Linked DNA regions of Coturnix japonica. The protein of the gene in region 3 purifies or fractionates together with the protein of the main gene of each other region. This does not show direct contact. Links are inferred from orthologs where the notes say so. Each region holds a gene or a part of one and is shown on either strand. Other genes may lie near its edges.

Region 1 (3,652 bases), on a different chromosome or scaffold from region 3:
ATAAAAGTTTTAGCTGAAAAAAAAACTATCAAAGTTTTAAAAAAGACTGAACATTTCTATAGATTTCAGGTTTCCATTTTGACTCACACATGAAGTCTCATGCTTTAGCTCATTTTGGCCCCTCTCTTAATGATGGGGAACACTGCCATGATCCAAAGCATTATGAAGGAGCTTGTGAGCTCTGCTCATTTTCTTCAGTGAAGACTTCAAACAAAGCCTAACAGAAAATGAGCCAGTACTGCTAATGAAAAAGGTAGAACTTGCCCTATACTTTCACAAATTTGTCACAACTTACACTTGAGATTTGTCTGATATTATCTCTAATTTGCAATTCTGGACTAAAGAGAAAATGGAAAATCCTGATTAAAAAAAACTTTGGAAATTTTGTTCTTGTCCTTCTACCACTGTTCCTTAAGGAATAAATTACAGTATCTGCAGCTCTTCTACCTTCTTTCAAAGCTATGTTTGCTCTTCTACTAAAGAGCTTCTTGCTCTATTATAATAATAACAATTTACTCCTACATCTTAAAACATAATGTTTAACATAATACATGATGCAAGTTACTAGGATACACCGTTTGCCTAATTGCTTGGAAACACTGAAAAGACTATTAACAGTATTTGATCTCCATCAAGCAATTTTTTTCTGTATTGAATACATACTATTATCTACTCCAGACTCCAGGGTAAGAATTCGTTGCCGTGTCTCCATGTTAAAAATGCTAGTGTGTCCAGTGTTAAAGGATGCTACCATGAGGCTTGGGTCACTGCTCACAAGATCAACTGAGGAGGGGATTCCCATTTCTAGAAAACAATGCAGAGAACATTTTCATAAGCAGCAGACTGTGTAAAAAAAAATAGGAAAAGAACACCATGTACTCTGATATTTAAAGAGTCATGATCATGAAATGTTACATTTTAAAATCTACATTATGACAATCCAAATTGATGGTCTTGAGTGATCACCACTTTAAACCTATTTTTCTGATATGCATTTCAACATTCTTTATTGAGATGTTCTATCTGGAACTGAGGCTGGACTGAAATCTAATTTGAATCATGTTGGAAAGTAAGAACCTCACAAGCTCCACCTGCCCTGCCCCTCTTCTTTCTTTAAGTGCAAGAAAAAAATTCAGCCAAACCTTCAGTGCGGGGACATAATATCAAAACGGCAAAATCATTTACATGACAGATGATTTTAAGTTGCTACTAAACTGGACAACTTCAGAGCTTAAAAAAAACCCCAAAGCTTTCCAAATGTAAATTTTACATGCTGAAACTATCAGCATGGAAAGTTACGTAAGTACATTAAAAACCTCACATTACATAACTTTTTCTGTCCTGCCTATTATATATCAGATGACTTTACACACTGGCTATTACAACTCTACAGGACAGAAAGCCAGATCAGCAGAGTTTGAGTACGAGAAACATCCCATAAAATTTCTGTCCTCAAATGTACTTTTCCCTGCCAACTAGATGAAAGAACAACACCTTCTCCAACAGATGTCAGGAGCAGGAGGAGGAAGAGGTAAAATCATAGAATGGTTTGGGTTGAAAGGGACCATAAATACAATCCAGTCCCAGCCCCACTCCTAGGGGCAGGGACATCATCTAATAGATCAAGTTGCCCAGGGACCCAGCCAACCTGGCCTTGATGAGACATCCATAGCTTCTCCAGTCATCCTGTTTCAGAGCCTCACCACTATCACAATCATTTCTTCCTTACACCTAACATGTATCTATACCCTTGTCCCATCTCTACACTCCCTGGTAAATAGATCCTCTCTCCAGCTTTCCTGTAGGCCCCCTTTAGGAAAAGGAAGGCTGCTATAAGGTCTCCCTCCAAAGCCCTCCCTTTTTCAGGCTGAATAACTCTGACCATTTCAGCCTGCCTTTATAGGAAAGCTGCTCCACAGCCCTCTGATCATTCTTGTAGATGATCCAACAGATCCATGCCCTTCTCAGTGCTGGGGGCCAAAGTGCTGAATGCAGTACTGTGAATGGAATCTCACAAGAGCAGAGTGGAAAGGGACAGTCACCTCCCACATCCTGCTGGTCCTCTTTTGATGCAGCCCAGGATACAGTTCTTCTGTATACTTCTGTGTTGCAAGGTACAGCACCTTGCATTTGCCCCTGTTGAACTTTATGAGGTTCATACTGTCCTTCCTTTCAAGTCTGTCCAGGTCTTTCCAGATAGTATCCCTTCCTTACCTCCTGCATATCAACCGCACTACACAGCTTGCTGTCATCAGCAATCCTGGCGAAGATGCACTCAATCCAACTGTCCACATCACAGACAAAGATGTCTATTAGCACTGGTCCCAGTGCTTACCTCTGAAGAACACCACTCATCACCAGTCTCCACTTAGACATCACACTGTTGACTAGAACAATCCAGCCAATTCCTTATCCATTGAGTGATCCAGTTATCAAGTCCATGTGTCTCCAATTTAGAGACAAGAATGTTGTGTGGGATGCTATCTAAAAATCCAGGTTGAGTGTGATACTGAATATTAAGTAATCTAATGTCCATGGATCCAGACAAAGCAAGAATACTATCACCACTCTAAAGACTCACGGGAAAAACACCTCACTTGTACACACTAGTTGTGTACTCAGGAATGTTGTAAAGTATCTATGGATACCACAGTAAAGTCAACCACAGATTAACCATGACTCTGATAGAACCCTGCTGACCTTTGGAAACACAGCTCTGCCAAAATGAAACTACATGAAACGTTTATATTTTGCTTCAGCTATTTAACAAACAAGTAATGGAACATCTGATCAACTTTATATCACAATTCAGAAAATCAATTCATTACATTAACATTCATTTTATCTTGAAGTTGTTCTGAAGAACCAAGAAAGAGCCTTGGTTCATGGGTTGCTTTTAGAACTATCAGCTCTAAGTTGATAGTTCTTAAGATGACAATGTCAGTAGCTACCCTAGAGCAATTACTCAAACAGCAACTTCGAGAAGCGAGGCTCTAAATAACAGGATTTTGGAACGCGCATTACATTTCAGTAATTAAACCCTAATGACTAAATTTTTTCAACTAACAGCATTTAGGATGACTAGATTATTGCTTTTTAGTTCATTCAAAAATTCATGAATTCATTGAAAGTAGCAATCTCTGTCAGAAGCACTAGGAACCTCAACTGGAAAGGTGCTAGGATGCTGAGCTGGACCTAAGCACTGGCTATTTCAAACCTCTCTGGGGGTAAGAAAGGGTTTTTTATTCTTGACAAACCAGTTGCAAGGGCCTAATGGAAACTCACTTTGAATTTGAACTATGGAACAGCTACATTATACTCTGGATCCAGCAATATCAGCAAGTAACCTACAACACATAGTTTTTAGGTATGTGTGACTGTCCGCCTGTGTGTATTTATCAATAATGGCTGGTGTCAAAATCCAAAATCTACTGCTCTTCTAAACAATCATAACAGTATAAAATCCAGTAAACAAACAAGAAAGGATTTCTACTCAGTAGTCAAGATTATGGTAGTCTGAACAGTTAAGCTAATGAACTTAAAATTCCATACCTTGATTATCATTAAATACACTGAGAGCTGGAGCAACTTCTGTAGCTTTCCATAAACGTACAGTGCCGTCTGCAGAACAGGACAGCAAACGCTGGTGTGT
Region 2 (3,652 bases), on a different chromosome or scaffold from region 3:
GACCAAGCTGAATTATTACCAAAGCAAACAGAAGATGCTGCCTCTACCTATAGGACCTTCCATCTCCAATGGCAGGCATCTCACTGAAAACAGTTATCTGATATCCAGAAAAACCAAAGACTTGCAGAAGAAATGTTATGCTACCCAAACTGTGCGAACAGTATTTCCAGTTGTGATTCACTACTTTTTGTATAACCGCTAGCCTCAGAGTAGGAAACACACAGCACTTAAGCAGAACTGAAAATGAGTTCAGAGGTTAAAAAAAGTTTAGAGAACCAGCACATAGCCTGACTTAAGCATTAACCTTTAGCTTCAAACAGTTTTCTTTAAAGAAGCCAATGCAAAACACAGAGAACAAAGCTAGATGGAGAGATTAAATTGTGAAAATTAACTTACGAATCAGAACCATCGGAATCGCTTTCGTCACTACTATGTCCCTCTGCTTTCCATCTCTTGAACCTATCAATTAGTTCTGTCAGGTATGAAGTCTTCTTGGCATTTTTCATAATGAATTTGTGCTTCAGGAGTTCTTTTGCTGTAGGGCGCTGTGGAAAAAAACCCAAACCACTGGAATATTTAATGTTACGCTAGCATTTTGTGACTATAAATGTTAGTGGGGAAGATGCGGCACAACAACAGACTCTCGGTCCTAACTTATACAGCATCAGGAAATTAGTAGAAACAGGAAGTCAAAAAAAGCCAGTAATCCACATTTACAAGCACTCTAAAAATATGATCAAGTCACACAGACTATATTGCTTACTCTCCTATGCTAGAAAGTACACACCCAGGAAAATGACTAATCAAGTTTCTCCAATGCATTTCCTTGTAAGCAGCATTCAGACAGAAAACAAAAGTTCTACCAGGGAAGAGATCGAGGATTCCTCTGTGAGGTTTCTCTTCTGACATTATCCTAGCTTTGCATCCATTTCTGGGAGCTGCCTCTGCCATCACTTCCTTTGTTATTCCTCCTCCTTCCATTACTTTAAACAAAAGAGGCTTGGGTGGAGAGAACTACTAAAAAGCACTGTTGCTATTTGCAGTCAAAATTAGCCTCTAAAATTATTTTAGTCAACTCTGATGCACTACATCAGCAAAAGACTTCACAAGCATGCATTAAAAATAGAGACGTGAGCATCTCTACACACATTACAAACATACACACACACTTATCTACTCACAAACGTTGGATCCTTATTCAGACACGCATCGATGAATTCTTTAAAAGGTTTACTGAATTCTCCTAATAAAGTTGGAGGATTGTTTTTTGGAATGAGAAACAGAACTCTCATTGGATGCATATCGGAGTTGGGTGGCTCCCCCTTGGCTAATTCAATAGCAGTGATTCCCAATGACCAGATGTCAGCCTGAGAAACAGAAAAAATACTTTCAGTACAAAGCTGAATGCCATCACAACACTGTATTTAGTAACCGAAATCTGCATCAATATAATAGAATCAGTTTTAGTACCAGTAGATAAACACACAAGGACTGTTTTTATACCCCAAGGCTATTACTCCTGAAGGCACATAAGTGATTTAATCAGTCTTTAATAACTTTGACTAATGAATACAGCATCATGTTGTTGCTAAATTCATAAGGTTGTTAGGGAAGAAAGCTAGGAAATGACCAGCAACTCCAATTAGACCTGAAACATCAAGTTGGAAGCACAAGTTCCTAAAGAATCATGAAGTGATACTGATTCTACCTAAAAGATGAATTTTATTAATGTCTTACAAGCTATGAAATCTTTCAGTGTAAAGACTTCTCCCAAGTGAAACATACATTCTTTGCACTATTTTTAGATGAGTTACGAGTGCTATTAAAAATCACTCTGAGCATTTCTCATTAAAAACTGCCTAAGAATGATTTAACTACACTTGGCAAAGCTTTAACCCAAAGCTGCCCACGTAATAAAGTGTTACAAGTTGCATCTCTACAATATTCCTTTCCTCTTTACAAGAAGAACTAAAATAACTATAAATCTATAAATACTGAAGACTTAAACTACCTCATTGTTTGTTACTGAAATAGCATAACTAACAACTGTAGACTAGAAATCAGTGTATTCTGTCCTAATACCTTCATCTGTTGTACCCAAAGGCTTAGAAAGAAAGGGGAAAGGGTACAGCTCGTGCAACAACATTGAAGAGACAAGGAAGACAAGGTTGCTGCAGAATGTAAATGAATGGGTGGTACAGCTGACACAGGAAAACCTGGAGATGAATTATTTAAACTTGGATTGGAGAACATACTTTTAAAACAAGGTAGAATGCTTTCCCAAAATGCCACAGAATGAGAATTCCAGTTGTAATGCTGAAACCCTACACATGAAAACTACAGCTGAATGTACAAACTCCTTACTATCATCCCTGATCTGGCTCTGGGAAAGACCTCTGTGGATCTTTAAAACATCTCAGATACTGAGCAGGTTTTTTTTTTATTAAGTATAGTTACAGACTTACTATCTAAGAAAAACAGTACAAAAGGTACTTCGTATGTGCCAAGAAGTTTAGCTTTCTGGATGCATGTAAAGTGTGGAAAATCTAATGCCAGCACTAAAATACACTGTCATTTCACTCACCCTATGCTCTATAGTACCCGGTGGGCATACACACAAGAGAAAAGGGACTACTCCCTCCTTATCATCACTTTTTAATCAGCAGCTCTAAACTCTCAGAAAAAACAAAGCAAGGGAACAGGGGTGGTGTTTTCTACTATAGTTATAAGCAGTAGATTTTTGTAATTTAAAATCAATTTTATTTTTTTTATAGAATTAGAAAGACAAAAAACAAAGCCATTTATGTTAGATCAGCAGATAGAGAGATCCTCTACATTCATACTTACTTTGGAATCGTATGCTGACTGCTGAATAACTTCAGGGGCCATCCAAAACGGAGTTCCAACAAAGGTATTCCTCTTAATTTGTGTGTCTGTCAACTGCCCAGCAACTCCAAAATCAGCAAGCTTAACGTCACCTTGCTCTGATAACAAGACGTTGGCAGCTGCCAAGGGGCAATAACACAACGTTAAGTCAGAATGCTGTTCTTACTTTTAAGGACTTTAAAAAAAAAAAAAAGAGATGCATTTGAAGTGAACCTTTTATATCCCTGTGAATCTTCTTCTCTGAGTGCAGGTAGTCAAGACCTTTCAGGATTTCCTTTAGCATAGTAGCTATCTGGAACTCATCGAAAGGGCCAGCACGAAGCTTTAGAGAAAACACACAGGAAAATAATTCTAGTCATATCTAATTTCTGGCCTTATTATTGATTTAAATAAATCTTAAACTTGAAAGAGTTTAAATTTAAAGATATTACAGAATCCATAATGTGAAGATTCAATTAAGTAGCTTAATATCCTATCAGGAAAAAGATGTCATTAGAATAACCATCTTCACACCTCCTCTACGGATAATACATTACAAATTCCATTACTTTGCTATACAGTACACGCTCCCCTCAGCATGCAGCACATAAGAAAAGCTAGAAATTCCCAATAAGTTTTATGCTCTTATCAAACCCAGCAGACCCAATACTGCATTTAAAATGAGTGCTTTAAGAAACTATTTCAATAAGACTTTTTTTTAAAGTTGTTGCAATATTTTTGATTCTCTGCTTGCTTTTGCATTAAGAACATAACACACTGATGTCAA
Region 3 (3,652 bases):
CCTCCAGCTCTTTCAGGGCTTTCTTCAACGATTCCACTTCTTCTTTCAGTGCTTTTGTACGGTTCTCTTCCCTGTTCAGCTTGGCTTTCAGCTGCTCTCTTTCGATGTCAAACTCCGAAAGCTGCTTTTCTACTTGTGCTTCCATCTGTAAGCCCCGCTTCCTCTTGGATGCCAGCTCCTCCTCCAGCTTACTCACCTTGCTCTTCTCTTTTTCCAGTTTCAAGCTCAGTTCTGCCGTCTTCTGACTCTCTTCTGCTGCTTTGGCAGTGGCTTTCTTGCACTCTACAACAAGCATGGAGGACAGCTGCTTGTGGCGTGCCCTCTCCTCCTCCAATTGACTCGAGAGTTTCTTCTGTTCTTTCTCAAACTTCTTAACCTGGGATCTTTCAAACTCCAGCTGGAAGAGAGGAGCAAAGAAAGGCTGTATGGGAAGCACAACGCCTCCACAAAGCATAACAACCCAAAAGCAAAAGGGTTTACAACACACGTTGGAAATACTGCCCAGAAAAAGATGGCTATGCCTAAGGTGAATAAAGAAGCCCTTCCCCTGGTGTCTGTGGGACAGCCTTGTACAATAAGGAGCTCTGTTCATGTACATTATGGATTATTACTTACTAGCACATGAAATTCAGTTGGCATTAAGCTACACGCAGCTGGCACGCACTGATCTGAAGCAAATCTTCCTTCCACCCCATCTACTGCTTTGTCAGTTTGCCTTTTAGAAGCATTTAGCCTTTAAAATGCTGATGTGTTATTTATGTTTATTAAAGCCCACAGTGCTTCAGTAACAGAAAATAGCAGCTTAAATATTTATTATAATCTCTCAACAACCCCCTTAGGAGACCTTTCATGATTTATTCTCATTTTTAAGTACTAGAAAGCATCATCACTTGTGAGCAGGGCTCTGGGCTCTTCAGAACTGCACAGATTTTGGTCTGAAGTAAGATTACAAAGCACTCATTTATGAACAGCTTACCAGAAAACTACATCTGTTTTTCCTATTGAAATGATAATAACTCAGAGGGACTCACAAAGGTGTGAGGCTCATGATATTCTTTTGACACTGAGGTGTGATCTGGCCTCAGCAAACCAACTGAAGCTGCATGGAACCACGGGCTGGGCAGTGAGCTGTACCTGCTGGGTGAGTCGTTCCCGTTCCTTCTCCAGCATGTAGGTGACATCATCCCCCTCTGCTGTGTCCTGGGCATGTCGCTGCCTCTCCTCCTCCAGGTCCAGGATCACCTGCCAAGCAAACACTGGTCACCACAGTGCCCTGCTGTGCTCACATGCTGAACAAAACACAGAGACCTGCACCCACACTGCAGTTAGCTTATACAAAAGAGCCACCACTGTGTTATCTGTCACTACTGGCTGCACCTTACCTGTCACCTCCTGTCTGCACCTCTAACAAAGCCAACAGGAGCAGAGCACGTGGCACAACAGGCTGCAATTTGCAGACAGATTGCTCCATTTGAGGGCTGCGGAGCAAAGTTTATTTTAAAGAACATTCATTTCTTCTTCCACTTAAGAATGAGATGAGCTCTTGAAATGAAACCGCTTGCCATAAGGACCCGGTTAAGGAGCTCCTTCAGTTTCTATGCTGATCTAGAACAACTGAAATTCTATTAGCTCAACAAAAAGAAAGCCAAATATGGTGGAGTCTCTTGGGTGAGTTTGCATCACCCTGCAGACCTCCAGGCCTTCCAAAAAACAGCGACCAGGAATTTACAGCAGCTTCTCAGTCTTCCTGCAATTTAGGCTTCCAAACAATGCTTGTATATCTTTCAAGTACACAGGGAACCTTTTTATTAGAGGAAAAGAGGGGGGGGGGGGGGTGAAATCTGATTTTCCTGTGAATATTTAGCTAGATTCTTGTCTGAAAGGTGACACACATCATGCTTCCCATGACTCCCAGCACACCAATGGGCAGTTGAAAGCTCCAGCTGCCAGCACTCAGCACACTGATGGGAAGCCCAGCTGGCAGCTCATATCACTGTGAGTGATTTCTGCATCAGAAATGCTTCACGCTCCTCACAGACTGAAAGAACCTTGCTCTGCCATATCCCCATCAAAACAGTAGCTAAAAATAAGACTTAAATTTGGCACTGTAAAAGCTTACTCTGATGCGAGTAAAAGCAAAATCCCAGCTGCTTCTCAGTATGTAACCCAATGGAACAGGTTGCCCAAGGAGGCTGTGGATGCCCCATCCCTGCAGGCATTCAAGGCCAGGCTGGATGTGGCTCTGGGCAGCCTGGGCTGCTGGTTGGTGACCCTGCACATAGCAGGGGGTTGGAACTGGATGAGCATTGAGGTCCTTTGCAACCCAGGCCATTCTATGTGAAGAGGCTGAGACACAGCACTGCAGTGCAGGTGCTGGAGATAACACCATGTAAACAGAGGGATTTGTGTGTTTGTTTTTTAAGAGCTAAGTAGATAAAAGAAGAAAGTACTTTGTAGTGGGTCTTTGAGTTCTATACACTGTGGCTTTATCCTCCTCTAACAAACTAAGGTGTGCTAGATGGGCAAGCCTATGGGAAGAAGCCTGATTGAACATCACTGATGACAACTCATTCAAGGTACATTCATGTACAAGTGAGTTATTAAAGAGACCAAACAGCATGAAAAGCAGCTTTGGCCACGTCACACTGTGTTAGGAAAGCTCATCTTATAGGAGGCACTCTCCCATAAGTAGGTGGTACCAGATCCTTGATGATCATAGGGAACAGTGATATGTCTGCTCAGAATTCAACCACCCAGCTATTCTCTTACATTTGCAACTACATCTCTTGGTTCTGGGCAAGGTAATTCCTTCTGCATGTCCTCTAATAGAAACCTCAATGTTATCACTACAGTTGCTGAGCCTCCCAGTTGCATCATAGAGTGACAAGTAGCTCACATGAAGGTGCACAGCCCTTTCAGTCACCAAAATCCAAGCATTTCAGTGTTGTTATCGAAACCAACATAACTTCAAAAGGCAGCTATCCACCTCTGTGTAGCTTATTAGAAGCAAAACGTACCTTTCTGTGCCTGCTTTCTGCAGCAGCTAGTTGGGATAACATTCTTTCCTGCATATTCTTGCAGTGTTTCATCACCACCTTCAGGATGGATAAGGGGTTGGAGCACACTGGCTGCTTTTCGCCATGATTCGCCTCTTTCAGGGCCTCAAAATCTCTCTGCAAAGCCATTAATGGATCACTGATGTTGTACTTTCCATAGCGTTCTTCAATGAAGGTGTCCCTGTGCTGGGCCTGTGTATCAAAACAAATTTGCACGTCAATATACTTAAAGCACAAACCCTGCTAAACAAAATAAAAGGAAATTGTTGAGAGTTCACATCCCCCCTTCCCAGGTCATTCTGTGATATCATGATATTGCTGATGAGGGCACTTAGAACAACATCAGCATCACTGCTCACTTCCTCAGCAGGAACATGATGGGCAAACCATTACCAAGCATCAACCATTTCTTACAGGATTGCTTAAGGACAAATTTTAGGTAGGAGAGCTCCATTCTGACTGACAAATACTGCCTTCTCTGCTCTCTTTTCATTGGGAAAGGTGCTTTCTGACATCTCAATAAACAGCACTGAGAAATAAAATGCTTCCCTCAAGCGTACAACAGCGAGAGCTGCTCCAAACACTGCAGCTGGAAC

The links.
Region 1: the proteins of CTTNBP2NL (region 3) and STRN purify together in Homo sapiens (affinity purification with mass spectrometry; 5 studies listed by BioGRID and IntAct, with this or other methods). This does not show direct contact. The link is inferred for Coturnix japonica from reciprocal best matches to the Homo sapiens genes CTTNBP2NL and STRN.
Region 2: the proteins of CTTNBP2NL (region 3) and STK26 purify together in Homo sapiens (affinity purification with mass spectrometry; 4 studies listed by BioGRID and IntAct, with this or other methods). This does not show direct contact. The link is inferred for Coturnix japonica from reciprocal best matches to the Homo sapiens genes CTTNBP2NL and STK26.

The regions. Positions count from the first base shown.
Region 1 is NC_029518.1:28,891,460-28,895,111, reverse strand, and holds part of STRN (striatin), read right to left. Parts: coding exon 3,553-3,652; intron 805-3,552; coding exon 664-804; intron 1-663. UniProt on the Homo sapiens protein: Calmodulin-binding scaffolding protein which is the center of the striatin-interacting phosphatase and kinase (STRIPAK) complexes.
Region 2 is NC_029519.1:3,361,040-3,364,691, reverse strand, and holds part of STK26 (serine/threonine-protein kinase 26), read right to left. Parts: intron 3,209-3,652; coding exon 3,100-3,208; intron 3,006-3,099; coding exon 2,848-3,005; intron 1,368-2,847; coding exon 1,182-1,367; intron 546-1,181; coding exon 397-545; intron 1-396. UniProt on the Homo sapiens protein: Serine/threonine-protein kinase that acts as a mediator of cell growth. Modulates apoptosis. In association with STK24 negatively regulates Golgi reorientation in polarized cell migration upon RHO activation.
Region 3 is NC_029541.1:3,554,689-3,558,340, reverse strand, and holds part of CTTNBP2NL (CTTNBP2 N-terminal-like protein), read right to left. Parts: intron 3,249-3,652; coding exon 3,018-3,248; intron 1,243-3,017; coding exon 1,135-1,242; intron 398-1,134; coding exon 1-397. UniProt on the Homo sapiens protein: Regulates lamellipodial actin dynamics in a CTTN-dependent manner. Associates with core striatin-interacting phosphatase and kinase (STRIPAK) complex to form CTTNBP2NL-STRIPAK complexes.